Oryzias latipes: one gene and its partners. The protein of the gene in region 3 interacts with the protein of the main gene of each other region in a biochemical or structural test. Links are inferred from orthologs where the notes say so. Each region holds a gene or a part of one and is shown on either strand. Other genes may lie near its edges. The genes, in order: rfwd3, atm and rpa2.

Region 1 (3,653 bases), on a different chromosome or scaffold from region 3:
AGAGCAGCTCAAACGCCTGTGAGGCTACCTTCCACCTGGGCGTTCAGCCAGAGGGCCGTGGGTGGAGCGGCTGTCGCACCTCCAGCCAGTCAGGGGGCGCCGATTCAGAGGAGGCTAAGGTACTCGCAGCTTCACAGATGAGGGTTTGGGGGCAAATCAAAGAGAGGTAAACGGATCAAATCTGTCCTACCTCCTTTTTTGCATTTTAGTAATCCAACTTTATTTTATTTATATAAACTTTATTGAGCATAAACACATTTACAGAACATGTATAAAGTGCCCTTAGGTAATAAATTAAAGGTAATAAATTAATAGTATTTTTGTGTATTTAATATCAAAGCTGAGATATGTAATTTTATGTTCAAAGTTTATGTTCAATAAATTCCAGTGGGTTCCAGGGCTAAGAAGAAATACAGAATGAGAGAAAAGGTGGAGTATAGATTCAAGGGAGTTTTTGCAAAAACTCCAGTTATTATCAAAATCAGGTAAAGTGGCAATGCACATATTTGTTGGATAAATATTATTTAAGTTATATTTTATTATTAACGCAGAACCTTTAAGGTAATTACCACGCTTCATTCCAATAATATCGGTTAAGATATTATTCCAGTAAATGACACCTTTAAGCATGGTGTTTTTTCCACACATAGTGTTACGTATGTGTTTAGTTTGCATTTTTTATTTAAGATATCAATGCCAATAATTGCCTTGGGAGGCTGTATTTTATTTGTAACTTGATACGTCATATAGGAGGCCATTAGGTGAAGTAGACCTGATGGGAAGGCTTTCATAACACTACACTACTCATTTTTTAATTAAAAAGGTTATGTTTTGGTCTTGAAGGTAGTCCTTTGGTTATGGTAATACCTAAATATGTAACTACATCTTTCAAGACTCGACTCAATTCACAGCTTCATGATCAACATAAGTGACGTGTGTAGCTGGACTACAAACGCTCATGGATGAGCTACAGAACACGCATACAGCCGCAGCACCTGCAGCTTCAGAGTCGCATGTGGCTCTTTTAGCCCTCCATTTTGGTTCTTGGTTAAAGACAATAAATGTCTTTTATTTAATTATTCAGAAATGTGAATTATTTTTATCATGGCGGCCGATGCAATAGCATAACTACGTGTCAGTGTCTAATTTTTCTAAAGGGTGAAGTGAGACTTTGGGCTCCTCCTGTGGTCTGTGAGACATCAGCCCGCATGGCTCTTTAGGTGTTGAAGGTTGCAGATCCTGGCCTAAGCTAAACAGATTATCCTGGAAACTGAACTTTTAGCCGATTTCACTCAGAAAGATCGTCCAGTGTGAATTTTAGGAAAGAGTTGTAGGGCTGAGCTGGATCAAGAGAAGGTGGTGCTCAACTCAAAGCAGCAGTCCTTTACATTGAATTAAAAGGAAACAGTAGTCTTCCAAAGAGCAAATGACTCGTTTGTGAGCTGGAACATGAGTAAAATTGAATTTAAATGGATGAAATCAGACACAAAAAGTAGCGATTGATTTGGGAATTCTTTTTTCCTCAAAATATCCAAAGAAATGAGTTGAACACTTGGCTTTTTTCCCCTCTTGGTCTACATAGAGGTGCAGATGAAGTGTAACTGGTTGAATGTGTCACCACCCGCCTCTGGGATAGACAGCGTTGTGGCGTCTGTGCTGCAGGCAGGGCCTCCGCGTGCATTATCCCAGCCAGACTGCAGGCCCCTCCAGGGGCTTCCCAGACTTCCATCTGCGAGCGCCAGCGGCCAGCATGGCGGAGCCGGAGTCCGGCAGCACCACCGAGGTCAGCGAGTCTGAGGAGGACGAGGAAAGGCGAGGAGAGGAGTCGACATCCAATGCTGCTCAGGATGTGGAACCTGGTGGTTCTGCTTCTACCCCTCAGCAGGCAGAGCCACAGGAGGCCAGTGCGTCCAGTGAGTGGCATCAAAACTGAAGCTGGGATCTTCCCCTCCTGTTGTCAGAAGCATGCTAATGCTGTGAAATACCCTCTCTGTCTCTTTGCACAGTCTCTGCCACAGTCGTTGACAGTGAAAGAACCGAGGGGACCGTTCAGGACTGCCGGGTAATCCTATTCTTGCATGTCTGCCTCACTGTTGCCTTCATGGCAGTGATCTCCATTTTTATTTTTAAAGTCAGAAGCATTAACACACAGTTCATGCAGGCCTCAGAGTTCGTCGTGTGTGTGTCAGATTAAAATTGCTGAAAAACACAGCAGTGGATCATATTCCCCCCCGAACTGTCATTGTGTCTTCTTCTAGACGTCCCAGGTCCAGTCATCCAGTCCTGAGGAGAATGAAGGCGACACGTGCACCATTTGCTTCGAGTCCTGGACGACGGCGGGCGAGCACAGACTGTCTGCTCTGCGCTGCGGACATCTCTTTGGCTACACCTGCATCCACCGCTGGCTGAAAGCTCAGGGATCTGCTGCCAAATGCCCACAGGTCAGAAACCCCGCAGAAACCCAGAGTGTCGTGGAAAGATTGAACCTGTTTCTATGGTAAACATGTGTTCCCTGTGTGATTTCAGTGCAACAAGAAGGCAAAGCGGTCAGACATTGTGCTGCTGTACGCACCAAAACTGAGAGCCCTGGATAACTCGGAGCAGGAGAGCCTAAAAAAGTTAGCTGTCTACATTTTTTTATTCCCAAACACAGTAGGCCTGCTGCTCTGGCATGAAGCAAAGCTGCATCTAAAGAACTGATCTGAAGGAGGAGTTCACAATCAGACCGTCTTTCAAAGCAAAAGGATTTTCTCTAAGAGCCAGAATTTAAACTGGACTCTGAAATGCAAATGGATTAGATCAACCAAAAGCAGTTGGATTTTCAGTTTTCTGTCAACAGAGGTGAAGCAGAAAACTGCCAGAAACTGTAATAGATGAGAAACTCATGATTGCTAAGCTTCTACAAGAACGCATGGCCTGATTATAAAGTAGAGTCTACTGAAGTGACTGAAAGCATAACATCCATCAGAGCTGTATCTGAGACTTGGCTCATGTTGTGTGTTTGTGTCTGTGCAGGTCTCTGGAGCAGGAACAGTCTCTGAGGAGGAAGGCAGAGCTGGAGTCTGCTCAGTACAAGCTCAAGCTGCAGGTGGTCACCACCAAGTATGGCCATGCACAGCAGGAGCTGCAGGTATCAGTCTGCTGCTCTCACCAGCAAGTTTCCTCTGACGTCCTCTTCCATGGTTGTGCTGAAGAGCCGCTTAAGTCAATGTAGAAACGAGCGCAGACACAGTCAGTCATTGCTGCTGCTGTTTGTTTCAAAGTGACCCCCGGGGGTGTATAAATCCCACGCCCCTTAATGAGGCGAAATGCTGCGGTGCAGCAAAGGGGGGTTGCTTGTTGTCAGAACCGGAGGCAGAAGAACGCTGGGGGCTGACGTCGCTGACATAGTGCTGTTGCATTGGCCGCTGGGTGAAAGCTGGATGCTTTTAAACCTCCACGTTTTTCAAGGAGAAGGTCAGGACAAAGCTGCAGGGACCTGATGGTCAGGACGAAAGAAAACCTGGAACCTCTGGATCAGAACAAGTCTGTTTGTGTGAGACACGGGGGGAAAACTGATGCTTAGAGACGGACATGTAGGCTGCCCAGAAGGAGACAGATTTTATTATTCTTGATCTTTTCCTTTCTTCTTAAATGGCTAAACTGCCACAGTT
Region 2 (3,653 bases), on a different chromosome or scaffold from region 3:
TCTTTACTATAAAAGCGATCTAGGAAACTATTTGCAGACTGTTTTCTTCTCTTTTTTTTTTGAAACAATTCCTTTGCTTCATTGTCTGAACAGAAGCAGGCGGTAAGAGGTGAACTTTCCCCCTGAAATGGTGCTTTGCATCACTTAACATGACCTTCAGCGGACATACCACTGTCTTCCGCTGGTTAGTCAGGGGTTGACATAGCCCAGAAATTTGCACTGGCCCACAGGGCCAGTAGTTTTTGAAACTTACTGGCCCTGCCTGAAAGTTACTGGCCCGACACCGCGCATAGCGGGACCCGCCGCTCCGCAGGTGCTTGCAACTTTAGGGGGGTCTGGGGGCATGCCCCCACGGAAACTTTTAATATGGTGCAATTTGGTGCATTCTGGTGACATCACTTATTTCTACACTTTTCAATGACTGAAAATAGACCATATCAAACTTAAATCTGCTCTAGTCTGTTTCAGATGTTTTGAAGAGAGCACTGCAGTGTAGTAGGTAACACTAGTTCAGAAGTTTTCATGGTGCTTCTAACGGCAAATATCGCAATAAATCATAAACCTTAAATGTGTTAAAACAATCTAATGGCAGCTTGAACCATTTAACGAATCAAATAAATCCCTTAATGCATTTGACCAATCGGATGGACGCCTTCACATTGTTGACCAATCAGATGGAGCCCTGTTATGTTAGATGTTTGTAACCTATGTCAACGTGGGTCATTGGAGTATAATTTTTAAACTGGGAATGGTTATTTGGTTATTTTGCTGTTTGTTTATATACCGCAAATTATATCGTTATCGCAATTTTAATCTCTGATATCGCATATCGCGAGTTTTCCTCATATTGTGCAGGTCTAACTGAGATCATTCAGCTAACTAGAAATACTTACTGCTTACAGTGTTGTAAAGAAAAACAAAATTAAGTAGTTTAACATTCTACTGCATTTGAGTCTGAGATTCAGGTATTTGGAGTTGCCTTTGATTCTTTGACATTCAGCTTAAAGCTTAGTGGATACAGTTTCATCTTCAATGCATTCATTAAATATCTTGCTGTCCATACTACTAATTATACCCACTACTCCATCCAACATATTCCTATCTATTCCTGCCATGTCTTCCACATCTCTGACATGCTTCAGTCTCTCTTCAGTGACGGTGTCGGATTTATAATCAAATGTAATGATAACCCACTGGCTTGTGCCTTCGTTGTTGCTGTTTAACATTGTTTTGTATTGAATTGTTACATTCAATAAAGTTTGAAAAAAAAAAGTAGTGAGCGCGTGCCGCGTGGTTCTCGGCAGTGAATGCCGCGCGCGAGCAGGCGGGAGAGAAGGAGAAGTGATCAAAGGTTTCCCATAGAAACCCTTGAAGTCTGAACACAGGACTAACATAAAAAAACTAAATTATGAAGACGAGGTAAATCTACACGTTTTCGCAAAATTTACTTTATTGAAAAAGGTGAAGAATATATAAACCGTTAGATATTTTAGTGGCCCGAGCGGACAAATGAAAAGTAAAGTCTTGTGGTCCGAACTGCTCGAAAAACAAGACCGGGCCAGCGGACAAATGGCTATGTCGAGCCCTGTTAGTTCTCCTACAACAGCTGCAGCAGAGCGAGGTGCGGGCTCTGTAGCCGTTACCGTGACAACTTGCCACACCCTATTTCTAATAGTCCGCTTCTTGTGAAAAACGATTGAAACCTTTAAAAGAACAGGATCAAAGTACTAATAATTGCTCAAATTAATATATTTATGGTAAGTGACCGTAGTATAAGTGCTATGGACTTCGGCGTCGTCCCTTATTTTCTGATAAAGAACACCTTGTGGGGCATTATCCCTTACTTAAGTGCCATTGTTTTGTGCCATCAGAAAGAAGCTGAAAACTTCAGACGGCTCCTTCGATCTCCTGCAGTTTTGCAAGAACTGGATTGTGCCTCATTGGCCAAAGCCAAAGTCTCCAAGCAGCTCACATGGGACAATGTCTTCAGGTAGTCTCCACTATGGAAGAAAAGGTTTTGGTGACTTTTTTTGTGCACAGGTTCAACCCGCATTTTAGGTGAACTCCATGTTTAAACACGGGTTATACCATGGTCCGGGGGAATACTCGATTCTGATTGGCTGCTGGGTGTGCATTAAAACCTGACAACCGCATGGTGAAGAAAGAAGTTCCAGTCACCTAGCTTAAATGTTTTGTATCACTGCGCCGGCTTCTTTAAAACAACCTTTTACTTCATCATTTGGACAAAAACAAGCGGTAAGAGAACTTTCTCTCTGAACTGATGCTTTATTCAACCCATCGGAAAGATCAGCATATATATATCGCCAAATCTTGACTGCAGCGGCGGTGCGAAAAAAGCGATTCGCCGCATCACGAAACAAATAGTCCGCTTTTTGTGAGAAAGGCGATCCAAATCGGGAAAAAAAACAACATTTAAGGACTAAAAACTGGTTAATATGTATTGCTTTTGTAAGTGACCATGGTATAAGCGGGTTAATGGCCTTCAAAGTGTGCATTATCACTTTTTAACGCACTTCGCGTCGGACGGTTCAGGCTTCCAAGGCGTGCGTTAAAGAATAATAACGCACACTTTGTCGGCCATTAACCCTTACATAATCTGTAAAATTCTTTTAAGATTCTGTTCTTCTAATGTGTGTCACTGCATTTTTCCTGGACCAGGTTCCTGCAGCATTATGTCCAGAAGGAGATGGAAAGTATTCAATCAAGTAGATCCAATGTGACGGCAACCACGCTGGCTATACGGCAGAAGAAGATGGCTGAAGTGTGCAGCTTGATTAAGTACTTTATTCGTTATGCAAACAAACGTAAGGGCCACACTCTGCAGTCCAAGATGTTGTTTGGCATAATAATAAAAATATGTTTCAATAATGATTGTAGACACACATCTTTTGTTCCCTACTCTGATCCTTAAAGAATGACTTTAATGAAAATTGGGGTTTAAACATATTCTAATGATGGAGGACGTGCATAAAGAAAATTAAGCTTAAAAGTACAGAAAGTATAGCCTAGAAAACAACATTGATTTTGGTTGAAAACGGCGTAGTCATAATTATATCATCATATTATATGACCACTGGGAACGCTTTAAAAATACATCAAAAGATGATCGGAGTGGGGCTTGAAGGAAAGCTTTTGAGTAGACGCTAGTCAGAATTTGGTTTTTACGTATTTATTCTTTTTGCAGGCGGGCCTCGTCTGAATTGCAGTGAGCTGCTGAAACACGTGACAGAGGTTCTGCAGAGCTCCCACTGCTGCACAGCGTACGGAGAAAATTACAGCAGCATCCTTTTAAAGGACATCCTCACCGTCCGCAAGTACTGGTGTGACATCTCTCAGAAGCAGTGGCAGAGTGCGGAAGCATTTTTAACTCCATTTCTGGAAAGTTTTGCTTTGTCAGCTCTATTCTCCAGAATTCTACATATCATTTTCTTGTTCTTTGTTTTTTCTCATAGATCTGTTGGATTTGTACTGTGGCTTTTTTAACTCTTCCTCCAGATCCATCAACCGTGTGTTGCTCAGCAGAGTCATCCACACGTTGGTGCGGGGCTGCTGCACGCAGACCGACGCCTTCACCGACGCTCTGTTCGGCTTTTTCACCAAAGCTCTGCTTAATGCCAGGTGAAATGTCAAAT
Region 3 (3,753 bases):
GGCAAATATCCCAAGATTAGATGGCTTCAAGAAGATGTGTAGGAGACCTCTATATGCAGATCAGGACACTATTGCTAGACATCTAATAAAGGAACAAAATAGTTGTCTGAGATGTTTAGTAGACACCTAGAATAAGTGTATATTAGTTATCTAGTAGACATCTTGGTGGGAAATTAGTCTAATTGCACAGAAAAAACCCACAGAGGTTACCATGTAAAGAAGAAAAGTAGGTACCCTGTCCAGATGATGAAGTCTGGGTCTGGAAGAATGCTCTTCATGGCATACACAGAGGAATTGATCAGGTGCCATGGTGAGTCACAAACATAGTCTCCAAATCTACCGGCGCTCAAAGCAGGCCGTTTGCCGCTAGAGGCGCACACCAGCTCCGGTTGATCTGTCACTTCATAAGTTGGGTCCCAGTGCAAATCTGTGATATGCCAAAAGCTTCCTGGAAAAGATCAGCACATAGGCGAAGTAAGTAAATGTCACAAAATCATCTATAACACGCTGGTTACACAAGGCTCTACTTACCAGTGAGAGCAAGAGCTCCTTTGAAAAGCAGACAAGATAAGAAAAAGCTTGTTGCTGTCATGTTTGAGTGTCTGAGAACAGCTGTGCTGGAAAAGACAGGCAAGGGTCTATAAAGGAAGGGCAGAGCGGGCCAACACAACCTTCTTACCAAGGCACTGACATGCTTGTGTGGATCATAATAACTAAACCTTGTTTTATGACACAATATTATTAGTTTTTACGAGAACGCTTAAGATAAGAAGCACTTTTGACAGATTAAATCATTACAAAATAGCTCTCTTTGTCCATCAGAAACTACAAAATGACACTTTTATCATTTGATTCTCCATGGCAAGTCAGAACTAAAGCTTTCAACAGAAAATTGTTTTTCTTCAAATTAAATAAAAGTTTAGAAGTTCATACTAATACAGGGTGTTACTGATTAGCCTATGTTTATTGAGCTGCGGATTTGGAGGCTGAGAAAAATATTACACAATCCTATCACCTTTACTGTTGTTATTTAAACTAAAGACACACAAAAGCAAAAGGCTACCTTAAAAAGCAATTCAAATTTTAGACCATACGATCACACACAAAATACCTTTCACGTTTTATTTTTTTATATTTGTAATTTTTGAGATTTTGATAAGTTATAGTATTTACGCATGCACCAGTGCTCATTACAACTAGAAAACCTTTTTTTTTAAATTGAAAGGAACAAAGATCATCATGTTCCACCTCTTTGCGATAGCGTCATAATTTGCTTGTTATTTCCCGAAATATTTCTATCAGGTGTAGATTTTCTTAGTAAACAAGGATTATTAGATCTTTTAAAATAATACAATCATTATGAAATAAAAACAATGTTAGAGTTTAAGAAAAAAACGGTGGAAATTCCCCATTAATTGGAATGTTTACTCCAAAACCGTGGCAAATGCCTGACAGTCAAAAATCAGGGCCAGTACATTATCTATATACCTCTCGCGATGAAACGTTTCGCGGGAATTATCCCACGCGCATGCGTCTTACATTGAGTTTGGCGCGCGGGAATCAGGTCGTTAAGCAAGTTGGTTGCTCGATTTCACCCCGTCACTAAATTATCTTTGCATTTTAAGAATTACTTACGAAGTGTCAGCATGTGGAATCAAGGTAAATGTCGTATCCAAGTTGTTTGTTTGCCTTTACATCGTTCACACTGGCATGTTTGTGTTGTTTGGTACAGCTAACGTTAGCTTTACTTAACACTCAAGTCAAGTGGCTTCTTTGTTTATTTCTTACAAGTGTAATAGTTTGTTGTCAAATGTGTCTTCCATTAACATTGTAAATATGCCGAAAAGGGAGTTTGCTTCACTTGCTTTCAATTTCTGTGTTGAAACTTTAGGAGGCTACAGTGAGTCGGGAATGGTTGGGGGTTACACGCAGTCTCCTGGAGGCTTTGCATCGCCTGGCTTGTCCCAAGGAGAGAAGAAAGGGGTGAGAAATGACAATGCCGACAGAGTGATGGTGCCTTTCAAAACTTACACCGGTAGTTAAAAGTGATCCATATTAAAGCTTGAACATCTTTAATTCCACATTGTCCCTTTGACCTAACATAAACCGTTTTTATATTATTATTGCACTTGTCTTGTATGCTTGAGTGTTGTTTTAAGCACATAACGGTAACGCTAGTAAAAACTGAAATCCTTCTGTCTGTTTGTTCATCACCAGAGGACCCGTTCCACTCAAATTATACCCTGCACAGTGTCTCAGTTGATGTCTGCATCTCAGGCTGATGAAGCCTTTAAAGTGGGAGAAGTGGAGGTTAACCAGGTAACCTAAAATGCAAAAGAGTATGTCTACTGTAAAGTATTAGATATCATATAATTTTGATTTTACTCTCTCTCTTTAAAAAGATAAAAAAAACACAGACCTATGTATATATTTAATAACGATGGAAGGGAAGGGGACCAAGTCACAGTAAAACAAAGTCTCAATAATTACGGTAATAATTAGTTAATTGGAGCTAAAAAAAAAATCAATGAGTCCAAAAATAATGCCTTATCAATTGGGAAATAATAGATTTAGCTTTTTTCCTAATATATTTGTAAGCTTTTTGTTGGAAACAAAAGCATCAGTAAGTTATGGACTTTTACCTTTCTTTGCTATGTGGCAGATCTTTACAAAAAACACAATAATAATGATAAAATAAAATAGAAAATCTGGAACAAGTAATCTTTTGTTTGGCAAGCTGTTTGACATTTATTGAGCAAATATGCATCAAAGTACTTCCATCTTAAATTACCTTAACTTAGCATCTACATGAAAGCAAAAACATGAATGATTTATTTCATAGCTAGAAGTAAAGTCAGGCATCATAGGGTTAAAGAATGTTTTTTTTTTTTATTAATTAATTTTTTTAAATTAATATTTAACAATATTTTATAACCACGATTGTAAAACTTCAACGTATTCTGCTACACACATGTAGAACTTCTCCTTTCGACTGGTGTTTAAATAATTGATCCAAACTTAAGTCTTGGAAGCAGCAGTAAAATATCTGTTCGGAACAAGAGAGACCAACTCCAGATCCTTTATTTTGAAAAATCAAGACAGGTTTCTGTCTTAAATTTAGTGTTTACTAATGCATAACACTTGGCAACAAACAAACAAAAAACAACAAAAATGTACTTTCATATTGTTTTTATTGCCTTTTTACACATCTCTGTCATAGGTCACCATTGTTGGCATCATCAGAAGCACGGACAAATCCATGACCTACATCCAGTACAGGGTTGATGACATGACAGGTGCTCCTATGGATGTGAAGCAGTGGGTGGATACAGAGGTCAGTTGGTGACAACCCCTTGCTAAATATGATTCATAAGAGACACAGTCTGCAGACCATTGTTGTTTATAAACAACATTTGATCAAATCTACATCTTTATTATCATTGTTGATGCTGTCATTGCTGGTTTCATTAAAATATATATTTTAACATTTATTTCAGTTAACTTCCGGTTTCTAGAAAATAATTTCTCTGATTGGGTTTTATTTTGTAGGATCCGAGTGTGGACAGCACTGTTTTGCCTCCAGGAACATATGTCAAAGTCTCTGGAAACCTACGCTCTTTTCAAGTAAGTGTATTACAGGGCCTGCCAACTTTTATTTTTATCTTATTTTCTTCATGCGGCCCTAACACTGTAAACAAAGGGCCACGCTTTAGGGCCACACAAATTGGAAACTTTTGTCTTTTATCAGTTATT

The links.
Region 1: the proteins of rpa2 (region 3) and rfwd3 form a complex in vitro, tested with the Homo sapiens proteins (3 studies listed by BioGRID, with this or other methods). The link is inferred for Oryzias latipes from reciprocal best matches to the Homo sapiens genes RPA2 and RFWD3.
Region 2: of the proteins of rpa2 (region 3) and atm, one has a biochemical effect on the other in vitro, tested with the Homo sapiens proteins (3 studies listed by BioGRID). The link is inferred for Oryzias latipes from reciprocal best matches to the Homo sapiens genes RPA2 and ATM.

What each region holds. Positions count from the first base shown.
Region 1 is NC_019864.2:6,601,215-6,604,867, forward strand, and holds part of rfwd3 (E3 ubiquitin-protein ligase RFWD3), read left to right. Parts: coding exon 1-119; intron 120-1,662; coding exon 1,663-1,913; intron 1,914-2,006; coding exon 2,007-2,062; intron 2,063-2,258; coding exon 2,259-2,441; intron 2,442-2,526; coding exon 2,527-2,618; intron 2,619-3,015; coding exon 3,016-3,130; intron 3,131-3,653. UniProt on the Homo sapiens protein: E3 ubiquitin-protein ligase required for the repair of DNA interstrand cross-links (ICL) in response to DNA damage. Plays a key role in RPA-mediated DNA damage signaling and repair.
Region 2 is NC_019871.2:24,876,862-24,880,514, forward strand, and holds part of atm (serine-protein kinase ATM), read left to right. Parts: intron 1-1,871; coding exon 1,872-1,990; intron 1,991-2,679; coding exon 2,680-2,825; intron 2,826-3,205; coding exon 3,206-3,370; intron 3,371-3,473; coding exon 3,474-3,639; intron 3,640-3,653.
Region 3 is NC_019874.2:22,815,665-22,819,417, reverse strand, and holds the start of rpa2 (replication protein A 32 kDa subunit), read left to right. Parts: upstream 1-1,523; 5' UTR 1,524-1,646; coding exon 1,647-1,659; intron 1,660-1,891; coding exon 1,892-1,983; intron 1,984-2,217; coding exon 2,218-2,319; intron 2,320-3,220; coding exon 3,221-3,334; intron 3,335-3,549; coding exon 3,550-3,624; intron 3,625-3,753. Other genes in the region: smpdl3b (acid sphingomyelinase-like phosphodiesterase 3b), read right to left, coding at 235-448, 532-592. UniProt on the Homo sapiens protein: As part of the heterotrimeric replication protein A complex (RPA/RP-A), binds and stabilizes single-stranded DNA intermediates that form during DNA replication or upon DNA stress.